3 linked regions of the Rhinolophus ferrumequinum genome follow. The protein of the gene in region 3 purifies or fractionates together with the protein of the main gene of each other region. This does not show direct contact. Links are inferred from orthologs where the notes say so. Each region holds a gene or a part of one and is shown on either strand. Other genes may lie near its edges. The genes, in order: MGA, YAF2 and E2F6.

Region 1 (3,748 bases), on a different chromosome or scaffold from region 3:
AGTGTTTTCATATTCTTTGGATAAATATTCAGAAGTCTAATTCCCTTTCTTTTGACTTTCTAGTCAGGAAACAATTGTGTAATAATTAATTAGGCTCATCAAATATCTTGAAACAAGAAAAGGGTGTCTGAAACTATATTTTGGCTTGGTAATCATATTTTAAATTGATACATTTAATTCCTTGTTTATGAATCAGCACTGTTGTGAGTCTGACCGGTGGTAGTCAAATTCCCCATGCTTGATCATCCCTTTAACTGAAAGACCAAAGTTTTGAAATCCGCAAAACTGAGGACAGAAGTTCAAAGTGGAGGAGATTTGATATGAATTGTTTTAATTGGGGGCTTCATGGGAGTAGAATATTAAGTTTTGACCTGGAGGCCGGTTTGTGAATAGGTTACAAAATGAACGCGTTCCGATGTAAGACCACCTTTTCTCAGCGCTAGCAGATGGTGTTTTTCTCACTTCCAATATGCATAGCTAGTATTAGCTTGAACCAGAAATTGTAATAGGGCCCTTTAAAATGACTCCTCTTTCGTCCACCCCCATTTACCTCAACAAGAGGAGTAAGTTACCAAGGAAGATCTGGTCTTCTGTCCCAAGAGAAATTCAAGGTGTTATTTCCTCTCCCAAGTGGGGTTTTAAGTAAGTTGTATATAAATTAGCATTCTTTTCCACTGACCATGAAAGGCTGGTAGTTTACTTGTGGGCAAACACCCTTGCTGGTTTTTTTTGCAATATTCACAAAGGCACTCAGCAGGTACTTACTAAATGCATGCTCTATGAAGAAAGGTTAAGCGGTTTCCCCAAGACCACACGGATGGAACAAGTGGGGGGAGGGGGACTGAAAGTGCCTGTTATATCCAGTTACACTCCCATAATTACTCAATCCGCCTCATTCCAAGCCGAAGGACCGGGCTTTCAAGGGGACGTGAAAGGAATGCCCGGGAGGTGAGAGCCAGGAAATCGGGAGAGGTGCCTTTCCCGGCATGCTCTGCAGCACACCGAGGGGCGCCAGACGTATCCCGGCGTGCATCGGGGAGCGCCCAAGGGCGATGGTTCCCGGCTCCTGGAGGGGCACGCGAAGTTAAACTGGTAGGTATGAGCTTCCTTAGTTTTGAGACCCTGTTTCCTCGTTTCCCCTTTGTGAATGCCATCCCCTAACGGCAGAAAAGGAGGTCCTCTAACTACCCTCCCTTTCCGCGTGCGAAAGACTTTCAGCGCCGCTTCGAGCACGGTGCCAGGTGATTAGCGGTTAGGGGCAGGCCTGAGTTGACCACGTGACCAAAGCTGGCAGCCAATGACTAGCCTGGTGGTCCAGCAGCGCGAGGAATCCCGGACCCGTGAGCAGAGCGGCGCGGCGCGTGGGTCCGCTCCGGTCGGCCCGGCAGGTACGCGCAGGCGCCTTGGTTGCCACGCATCCCGTTCGTCCCCACGCGCCCAGTGGCGTGTACTTGGCGCGAGGTGTTAAGAGTATGTTTGGGTGTTTTTGTGGGTAGGGGGAAGGAGAGGGGTGGGGGGCTGGCATCACGTGGACGCCACAGCCAATCGCAGGCCGAGGCGCACCCACAGCTTTCCCCGGCGCCCCGGGGTGCGACGTGTTCAGTGAGGTTCGGCTCAGCCCTGACGGCCAGAGCGCTCTTTCGAAGCGCGTGTGCGGCTTGTAAAATCTGGCCACGGGTTTTAGTGGCGTCCACCTCCGCTGTGAACACGGACGACAAGTTCAAGGCAAAATGGCTGCTGGAAACAAGTCTCTTAGCAGGGGGAGCGCTGGGGCCGCGTGAAGGTCACATGACGAGGTTGGCAGCGCGTGCTGCTGGCGCGGGGAAGGGGGAGGGTGGGAGAAGAGAGAGGCGTGGCCAGTCACGTGCTGTCGACTGTGCGGTCCTGTGGGTTTCCAGCGCCTTACGCTGCGGCCAGATTGCTTGCTTTTACTCCTCCCACCTCGAAGCGTGGCAAACCTCGGCGAGAAGCTGTGTGGTGTGGTGAAATCAGCCGAGGTCTGAGGTCTGGGAATTAGGAGGCCAGGGGTCTAAGCCTTCAGCTACTTTTGTAATTAGCAAGTCATGTTGCCTCTCTCGGCCTCCATTTTGTCATTTATATTTTAGCTCTGTATAAGAGATTATTTCTTTAAGGTCCTTCGTATGGGAGATTGTTTCTTTAAGGTCCTTCGTATGGTGTATGACTCTGCCTCATCCCAATGTCATGTAGATAACAAAAGAACAGTGAACAAATTATTAACTGAGACAATCGCATCTCCCCACAAGAAAAACCCCATAACCATCCCCTCCCTCATCATTACGTTGATGTGGGAATTTAGTGAAGGTAATTTGTTATTAGAATCTGGCATATCTGTCCATTTTTATCAATAGCATTTATACTTTGTACCTGCCCACTTTCTTACTTGAAAACTATTCTTTTGGACGTCTAGTCCCTGTGTGTTTCTGGAAAGAAATTGAGATAATAGTATTGTCATCACTATGTCACTATGGAGATGGGGAAACACAAGTAATTAGAAGAGACTTGCTCATGCCCCATAAGGCTTCTCCTCTTGATGGGCCAATCTTTATAAAAAAATAAAAAAAAATAAAAAAAATTGAGGCTTCCTCTCACTAGCCTTTGGTATTTTTCATGGTTCTCTGCTCCCAGCTCCAGCTCTTCATTTAACCAAAGGTCAAGGCCTTTAGTGAAATGAAGCAGGCATACATTATATATTTTTCATATCACTCTTTCAGTTTCATGCTACCCTTTGATGTATCTTAAAGAGCCTTTGAATTTTGTGGGAGCACAATCTGGAAAACATTTATCGAGCAATCATTATAATGATAGTTGTCACTTTTGAGCAATTAGAGTAATAATTAACATCTTTCTAGCATATTACTTTATATGTCTTAATTCATTTAGTTCTCATAACAAACGTATGAGATAAGTACTATTATCTCCGTTTTACCAATGAGGGAAATAGCAACAGAGAGATTAAGTAATTTACAGAATTCCAGCCAGAATGCCTTTTGAAAGCTTGACAAAATGAGTCAAAAGTTTATTTTGAAGAATGAACCTGTAAAATAGGAAAAAATTTGAAAGAGAAAAGTGAGGAGGGCTCTTAACACTAGTGACCATACAAATAAAGCTGTGATAATCAAAACAGTAAGTAGTAACTCTGGACTAGAGCAGTGGAACAGAATAAACCTAGAAATATATAAGGCTATTTAGTACTATAAAGGTGGCATTTCATATAGGTTAAGAAAAAATTTCCAAATGATGTTGGAACAATTGGCTGTTTGAAAAAAAGGAATTGTACCTTAAAATGTAAATAAAATAAAATCCAGGTGAATTAAATATAAAATGTGAAGTTAGAAAATTGCTACTTTAAAAAGTGGGTAAACAATTTTCCAATCTTGGAATAGGATGAGTTGTTCTAAGCATGACAGAAAGGCAGAATTCATAAAGGCAAAGATTGATAGAATTATTGCACGAAACAACCTCTAGTTGGCAAAAATACCATAAAGTTAAAAGACAAATTTATTAATTCAGTATTCATTTAACATATTTATTGAGTGCTTACTATGTGCCAGGCAGTTTTTCAGGTATAGGGATCCAATGATGAGTAAAGCCAGACAAATTGTGGGAAAAAAATCTTGCGCGGTGTGTTGGACCTACGTTAATGACCTTAATGTCTAATGGCGGTAAAAGACATGAATAGGTAGCTCTCACACACACAGAGACATAAAAATAACCAATAAAGATGAAA
Region 2 (3,748 bases), on a different chromosome or scaffold from region 3:
AATGAATTTCATCTGCAGTCTTTGCCCGGAGGCAGTTTTTCTGATGGGGAATGGGATAAGGCCCTTACCATAACCGGTAGGGAGAAAGTGTGAAAGTCCTTGAATGCCAGGCTAAGGAGTCTGAGAGCTTTAGCAAACTTTTGATCAGGATGGTGTCATTACCAGCACTGACTAAACTGGGGTGATCCGGCTTGAGCTTCGGAGACCAGTTATATGGTCCTTGTTAGTATGTACAAAGTGAGGGCGTCCAGTATGTTGAGATAATTGAGATCTGGAAGGAAGGTAGCGTTCAGGGCACATGTAAACGCGTTATTTTAAAAAAGGGCTTATGAATACTTTAAAAAAAATTTTTCCCCCCAAGCAGCTACTGCAGATGCCTGGGAAGCCGAGGCAGCGCATTTGGCATTAAAACCAGGGTTAGATTCCTGGCTTTGTTATCTTCTGATTATGTAATAGAGGAAGTCACCTAACCTCTCTTGAGCCTCGGTTTCGTTTCTTCTAAATCAAAGGCAATCTTTACTTGGTAAAGCATTTTCCTGCATAAAACTAGACAGTATTTTAAGGCACTTAGCAATGGCGCTCAATGCTGATTCCCAACTCCCCCCAAGTATCCGGGCTGAGGCTGAATAGCCAAGGGCGGCCGAGGCTGGGAAAGCGGTTCTACCTGGAGACCGCAGCCGGGCACTCTCGTCCGGAGCTGGGCTGACCTCCGAACGCCGGCCCCACGTTGGACTAGGCTTCTCGTGGGGTTGACTGAGCATCCCCCGCCAGCCGGAGGGACAGACAGAGGAGCCCGGAGCGCGTGGCAGCCCCCGTCAGCCGGGGTTGCCGAGGGGAGGCGGGGAAAATCGGGCGGAGAAGCGGTGGCTGAGGCGCCGGAGGCTGCAGCTGCACCCCCACGCCGCCCGCCCGCGAACTCGCGGCGGGTGCTGGGCCGCGCTGGCCGCGTTTGAAGTCTCCGGCGCGACCGCTGGTTGGCCGGCGCGGGTCACGTGCGCCCAGGCAGGAGTTTCCCCGACAGCTGGAGGCTGCGTGGGATCCGGCGGCGGCTCCGGAGCTTGGCGGTGCGGCCTTCCCCGCCCCCTCCCTCCTCCCCCGCCCGCTTCCGCCCGGCTTATTATCCTCCTTATTGACAAACAGAGCGGCCGCGGCGGCGACTCTCGGCGTGCATCTGTAGCCAAGCCATGGGAGACAAGAAGAGCCCCACCAGGTAACAGCGCCCGGGCCCTCGGGCCCGGACTGTGCAGGCGGCAGGGCCCTCGCGTCGGGCTTCAGGCGGCCGCCTGGTTCGCCGCCCGGGCAGCAGGGCGAGAACGGGGGCGGCGCCGCTGCTGCGCGAGCGCTGCCGCGTGAAGGGCCGCCGCCGGCCGCCCCACAATGGAGCCGAGATGGCGGCGGCCGGAGCGGCAGTCCCGGTGTCACAGAGGCCGCGGCCGCGACGATAGCGGCCGCGCTCGCGCCTTCCCCCTTCTTTATTCCCCTCCCCCTCTGAGCCGGAGCGCGGCGTGTCCGGGGCCCGCGGGTGGGGGGGGGGTCGCGGAATTGGGTCGGGGGTCGGGGTGCGGGCGACCGCGGGGCCCGGGCGCTGGGCGCGGCCTGCTGGTGACCCCGCGCGACGTCGTGTCCGGGTTGTGTTCTGCAGGCCGAAGCGGCAGCCGAAGCCGTCCTCGGATGAGGGTTACTGGGACTGTAGCGTCTGCACCTTCCGGAACAGCGCGGAGGCCTTCAAGTGCATGATGTGCGATGTGCGGAAGGGCACCTCCACCCGGTGAGTCCCGGGCCTGCCTCGCGTGCTTCTGGCCAGCCGGGTCGCAGCGCAGAGGACGCCCCTGCGGCTGCCTCCACCTCCCGTGACACTTGCAGACCCGGCGGGAGGAAGCGAGACTGAGGTGGTGGCCGCGATAGGAATTGGGTCAGATTGGTCGCGACCCAAGCGATGGTTTGCGGTGAGGAGTAATTGAAGAGGCTGTATCGTTTTTTTGCTGCCAAGAGAGAATAAATTATTTAAGGAGGGCATTAGCTGCTGCGATTTAATTCGTATCGCTGGGTGTAATGTCATCCTCCCCCGCTCCATTCCGGATATAATAATGTTGGCTGCATTGTTGTGTTAGTGTGTAGGAATCAAAGAAAAACCATGAAATCCTCTTTAGGAGCAAAAGATGTAATTTAATTACGTTCCTCAAAAAGAAAACAATCTGATTATAGAATACCCAGTGGATTTAACTTCCCTTTTTATATAGACGTTTGAACGGGTCACATCAAGGTTTTGTTCAGTGTTTTTTTACAATTCTCTAATATTTTAACTTCCTTTTTTTATATAGACGTTTGAACGGGTCACAGCAAGGTTTTGTTCAGTGTTTTTTTACAATTCTCTAATATTTTATAAAAGTTGGTGGTGAGCCGTCACAGGGACGTAGTTTTACTGAAGGTGTCTGAATATCTTTAGTGTGGTCAAATGGTAATCTATTAGACTATACAAATGAGATTAAATGATCTCTGCCTATTTTCAGTCTTTATTGTAAGCTTACAGTATAATAACTCAGTCTTTTAAAAACCCACTTAAGTGAATTAAGTGGATAAAGAAAATCATCCAGGAAATTCAGACAGTGACATTCTTGATCTGCCAGCCTTAGTTATAGACTCCCTTCACCTTTATAGGAAGGTAGGCTTTAAATTAATTCGTTATAATCCTGTAATTCATAGACTAATATTTAGATAACACATATTTTGATATTACAAAGTCTGTTAGAAACTAAATTATCACAAGAGTATAAGTATACCAATGGGATATAATACTGTTGTTTTAAAAAAGGCATCCACAATATTTATATATTGATTTATATATTCAGAAGTTAGATTTCTAAAAATGAAATATCCAGATTTTTAAACACCATTTAGAGCGTTCCATTAAAAAATTTAAATGTAGAGACAGAAATGGTTGGCAGTATTTTAAAATTTTAAGAATTTAGTGAAGTCAGCTGCTTTTGACATACCTGTCTTTTTGTAAATCTTAACACGTTTTTTGTACATTAATTCCCATCTATATTGGATAAAATATATTGAGCATTTTTTATGGTATCCTTTGAAAAGAGAACTTTCAAACATATACAAAATTCAAGGGACTGTAATAGAATACTCTAAAAAAAAAAACCACCTATTTGCTAACATGAATGTGGTAACTAATTTTGGACCCGTGATTTAAGTATTTTGAAAAGTAGAATATCTTGATATCTTTATGTCTATATAAGGTTGGATTTGGTTTAGATTATATTTGTATATCTATGTTAGTACTTTGTACTTTTTTAAATGCTCAATAAGCAATTTTCAGAAAATTTGTTTTTTGGAGGCAGGAACTTTAAAGTGGAGACAATTATTATAATCTTAATCTCTGGTACAATATTGTTGCTTTTTGTTGTTCCCTCTATTTTCTTGTAGCCATTAGAAAAATACTGAAACTAGAAGAGCCTATATGTTTATTTGCAGGGACAGCAAGGAAGGGGGGAAGCTGGTGTCCTACTCCACAGCCAGTCTTGGGGTTAGAGGAACCCTGAGAAATAGAGTAGGTGGTGGCAGCTCAGAAGAGAAGAAACAGGCCGAATACCTGGCATCTGGAAGAAGAAGGAATATAGTGCACAGGGGAGTTGGCCCAGGACAGAGAAGTGGGCCTAGTATAAAAGAGGCTTGAGGCCCCCATGGGGGCCCCTGACATTTTTACCAGTACATCTGAGCTCTTGTAGATCCAGTTTTT
Region 3 (3,748 bases):
AGGCCTTTTCAAAGTGGCTCCTGCACTTTGAAATAAGGACACTTGGTTTTTACCTTTTCAGCACCTTTAGGATGCGTCTTCAGAGGAACGCTCCCGTAAATTTCTATGTGACTAACCTGCCCAGATGCCAGCAGAGATGATGCTGCTTCTAGTTCCTGCAACCCACAACTGCGGGGGCAGCATCAACGTTTCTATCACTGAGAGGTCACTTGCAGGTGATTTCCCTGAGCGGATACCAAGGGAGCGCCTAGTACCAGTCACATCTCAGGACTAGACTACCTAAGAGTCTTTCCCTTTCAATCCTCAAATCTGCCTCTCATTTGTTCAGGTTTATTATATAGCCTTGGAAAGGAACAGAGAAGGCAGAGGCCTCCAAAATCACTACGGATGACAGCAGCCTAAGAACCAGCAGCTTCTGATGTGCAAGTCAGCACATTCCATGCTATTTTACTACCGTTCCTAGTCCTACATCTAAAGACCAATGCTTCTAAATCTGAGATTTCAAAGAAAAAGAAGAGACTAAAAAGTGAGTTTTGGAAACTAAAATCTTAAGCACTGTCTTTAAATTAGTTAAAAATTTCTCTATATGGATGCCTCTTTGTACCGACTGCCTGTTTTGGAGAATAACATCCCTTTAAGAGCCCTCTGAAAACATACCTTTCTCCAAGGTGATTACATTCATTTAAATGTTCCTTAACTGAAAAATAATACTATATTATATACTGCTAATAATACTAAAAACATACTACCTTCAAACAATACTATTTTCTCCCTTCTCAGTTTGCAAGCCATTTACGTAATGGGAACATCAAACAGTCAGGTATATAACTAATCTTTGCACAGCAATAGACTTCTATGTATTTAATTATTAAATACTTCCAATCATTAGCCAATTAAAAAACACAGACATAGGTATTCGAATCACCATTTTATCCAAAAGAATGTGAAAATCTGAAAAATTTAGCAACTATAAGCAGTTCAGGAAAGATAAACCCAGGGGCCTGATTAAGAAGTTTCGAATCTAACCTGACAGCACTAGGGAACCACAATAGAGTCTTTAAGCCAAATGAAATGATCATAAATATGCTGTAAAAAGACCACACGGTTAGTTGCTGTGTGGAGAATATACAGAAAAGTTGGGGGCAAAACCAGAAGCAGGAAAGGTGGTTAGTAAGACATTGCAACAATCTGAAAGATAGATGGTTAAAAGTGGCAAGTACTGGGGATTAATTTTAATTGGATTAGAAAGATGGAGGGAGTCAGTTTCAAAAAAAGAAAAGGCAAGAATGATGCTTAGGATAGGTGTTTGGACAATACGGTGGGTGGGTGTGTTACCATTTATTAAGCTAGGAAACAGCAAAGTTGTTTCTTGCTTAGGTTAGAAGATAATGAATTCAATTTTGGACATGTGAGTTTCAAATCTAAGTAGAGATATCTAGTAGACAGTTGGAAAGCTCTGAGCTCGATTTATAGATTTGGGAGTTACATCATGACATACAGTATATCGCATCTAATCTAGAGCAACAATAGAGGAAATTAACCTTCAGCTGGAACGAAGCCCAATCTCCCCTTCCATTTTTTTCTGTCTTTCTGAATGGGGAACTGTGGGGTGGGAAATGTGAGATATGGACAAGCTTTTAAATAGTTACAGTTAAGTAGAATGGGAGAGGAAGCCCAAGAGAAAAACGATCGCTTGCAGAGATATACTGAGGGTGAGTGGAAGTAGGAAAACAAGATTTTCTAACGCAAAGTTGAGCAACTTTCTCCAACAGTGCTCCGTAGCCCCAAGGTAAAAGCCAAGAAGGCTGACACATTTGAGAGGACGTGTTGAAAGAAGGCAACAGAGTTTAAGCGAATGACCAGGTTGGTTCATAGTAGTACATAATGGGCAGTGCAAGACCAGAGGAGACAGGGGAGCAGCCACGGCCCAGCCCTGGGCGAGCTCATAATTCAGAAGACACTCAGTGCGGCTTCCCCAGTGAGGGAAAGGGGCGGCTAGCCTGAGACGCGAGCCGCCCGGACCCGATCCCACCCCACCCCGCCCCCGGCCAGGACCCCAGGCGCGCAGGACTCAGGCTGGCCCGGGGACTTACCAGCAGGCCCTCCACGTTGATGGGGTCTCGGCACCGGCGGCGCACCGTCTCCTCTGCCGGGTCCACGAGCAGGCTGGGCAGCTTCCGCGCCGGCCGCTGCTGACTCATGCTGCCCGGCCAGCGGCCCCTCGCCCTCGCACCCCGCGAGCTCTCCCGCCTTCTCCTGCTCGGGTCGGACGCCGCTCCCAACGCTTTGGTTCCCGGAGCCCAGACCTGGGCTTGTGGCCTGCTCGGAGGTGCACTGGGCTAGTCTGGGCCGGAGACGAACGCGCCACTGTCCAACGGCCCCGGGAAGTAGCACGCAGACTGCAGGAGCGCAGGGAGACCCACGATTCTCAAGACGCCATGCCCGCCATCTTTCCGCATGCGCAGTGCGCCGCCCCCAGTGCGCATGTCTGGCACAGCGGGAGCGCTCCCACGCAGTAATCCGGTCCTGAGCTGGAGCCCGCGAAACCCTGGGAGGCGGAATCCACGGAGAGGATGGCTAAGGAAAAGGAAGAGGTGGAGCAGGAATCCGGGGGAAGGGAACAGCACGAAAAAAAAAAACAACACAAAAAAACAAAAACAGGCGGCCAGGAAAACCGCATTTGTCCCGCGGAATTCTTGACATGATGACACTAGTAACTGAAGGATCTGAGTGGGCAGAGGTGTTAATTTATTCCTGAGCTCCCTCTGCACATCTCAGGCACTTACCCAGCGTTGATGCTTAGTAAATGTTGGAAACCAAACCGTTGCGGAATTGTTTACTTACATGCTTCTTTCTCTTTCTTTCCTTTTTCTTCCAGTTAAAAGATGCCCTTACCTACCAGAGTCCCTGAGAAGGCAAGCTCTGGACACCAGTAAAGACTGTTTTTAATAAGTAAGGTGTTCATTCATCATTTGCATTCTGCTCAATGTTCTACATACATTTTCTCATGTAAATCTTGTATTAAAACTGATGGATAGGTGTTTTTCTGCCCAATTTACAGATCAGGAAAACAAAGATGAGCAAGATTACAAAAATTACCCCAGGTCCTGGCTAGGCAGTGGTAGAAGCAAGATTTGACTCTACAGTTGATTAATTAATTTGGTATGCCGATTCTTGAGAAGGCGATTGAAAGGTGACTAGATTATCTGCAGCCAGAAATGGGGTCAAGTGAGTGAAAGTGAGGTGTGGGTCAAGACGAAGTTGGCAGGCACTCCAGGCTGAAGACAGCGTGAGCACAGCTGTGGAGGGTTAGGGCAGTGACACCCCCTCCAGACACTTACAACGCCTGTGACTTGGCAGGAAGTTGAGGGAGTTCATGCTCTATGAAGCCAAGGTCACCTGCTGAGAGTAAGGGGAGATGGTAGGATTGGAGATTTGGGAGACATAGCATGCACTCAGTTAATATTTACAAATGGGGAACAATAGAGAAGACTGACTTGCCAAACATAGTAAGACTGCAAAGTCACACTAGACATTACCTCCATCTATGGCTATCTCACATTGTCTCTAATTACATATCCTCCTATGAGAGTTGAAGGATGAAGAGGCATGTGTAAAAGATGGCAGAGGAGAAATGGTGGCAGCAAGGACTGTTCCCCATTAATTTTCTGCATGTAATAATCTGGGTCATAGAACCATAGAGCAGGAAGAGGTCCTGGGGATCAGTTAGTAAAACCCTCTCATTTCA

What was found.
Region 1: the proteins of E2F6 (region 3) and MGA purify together in Homo sapiens (affinity purification with mass spectrometry; 3 studies listed by BioGRID and IntAct, counting the BioPlex papers as one, with this or other methods). This does not show direct contact. The link is inferred for Rhinolophus ferrumequinum from reciprocal best matches to the Homo sapiens genes E2F6 and MGA.
Region 2: the proteins of E2F6 (region 3) and YAF2 purify together in Homo sapiens (affinity purification with mass spectrometry; 4 studies listed by BioGRID and IntAct, counting the BioPlex papers as one, with this or other methods). This does not show direct contact. The link is inferred for Rhinolophus ferrumequinum from reciprocal best matches to the Homo sapiens genes E2F6 and YAF2.

Annotation. Positions count from the first base shown.
Region 1 is NC_046289.1:63,755,968-63,759,715, reverse strand, and holds the start of MGA (MAX gene-associated protein), read left to right. Parts: upstream 1-969; 5' UTR 970-1,092; intron 1,093-1,308; exon of another isoform or gene 1,309-1,388; intron 1,389-1,454; exon of another isoform or gene 1,455-1,470; intron 1,471-3,748. UniProt on the Homo sapiens protein: Functions as a dual-specificity transcription factor, regulating the expression of both MAX-network and T-box family target genes. Functions as a repressor or an activator.
Region 2 is NC_046293.1:45,237,251-45,240,998, reverse strand, and holds the start of YAF2 (YY1-associated factor 2), read left to right. Parts: upstream 1-842; 5' UTR 843-1,184; coding exon 1,185-1,210; intron 1,211-1,642; coding exon 1,643-1,768; intron 1,769-3,483; exon of another isoform or gene 3,484-3,748. UniProt on the Homo sapiens protein: Binds to MYC and inhibits MYC-mediated transactivation. Also binds to MYCN and enhances MYCN-dependent transcriptional activation. Increases calpain 2-mediated proteolysis of YY1 in vitro.
Region 3 is NC_046296.1:64,751,963-64,755,710, reverse strand, and holds the start of E2F6 (transcription factor E2F6), read right to left. Parts: upstream 2,468-3,748; 5' UTR 2,202-2,467; coding exon 2,094-2,201; intron 1-2,093. UniProt on the Homo sapiens protein: Inhibitor of E2F-dependent transcription. Binds DNA cooperatively with DP proteins through the E2 recognition site, 5'-TTTC[CG]CGC-3'. Has a preference for the 5'-TTTCCCGC-3' E2F recognition site.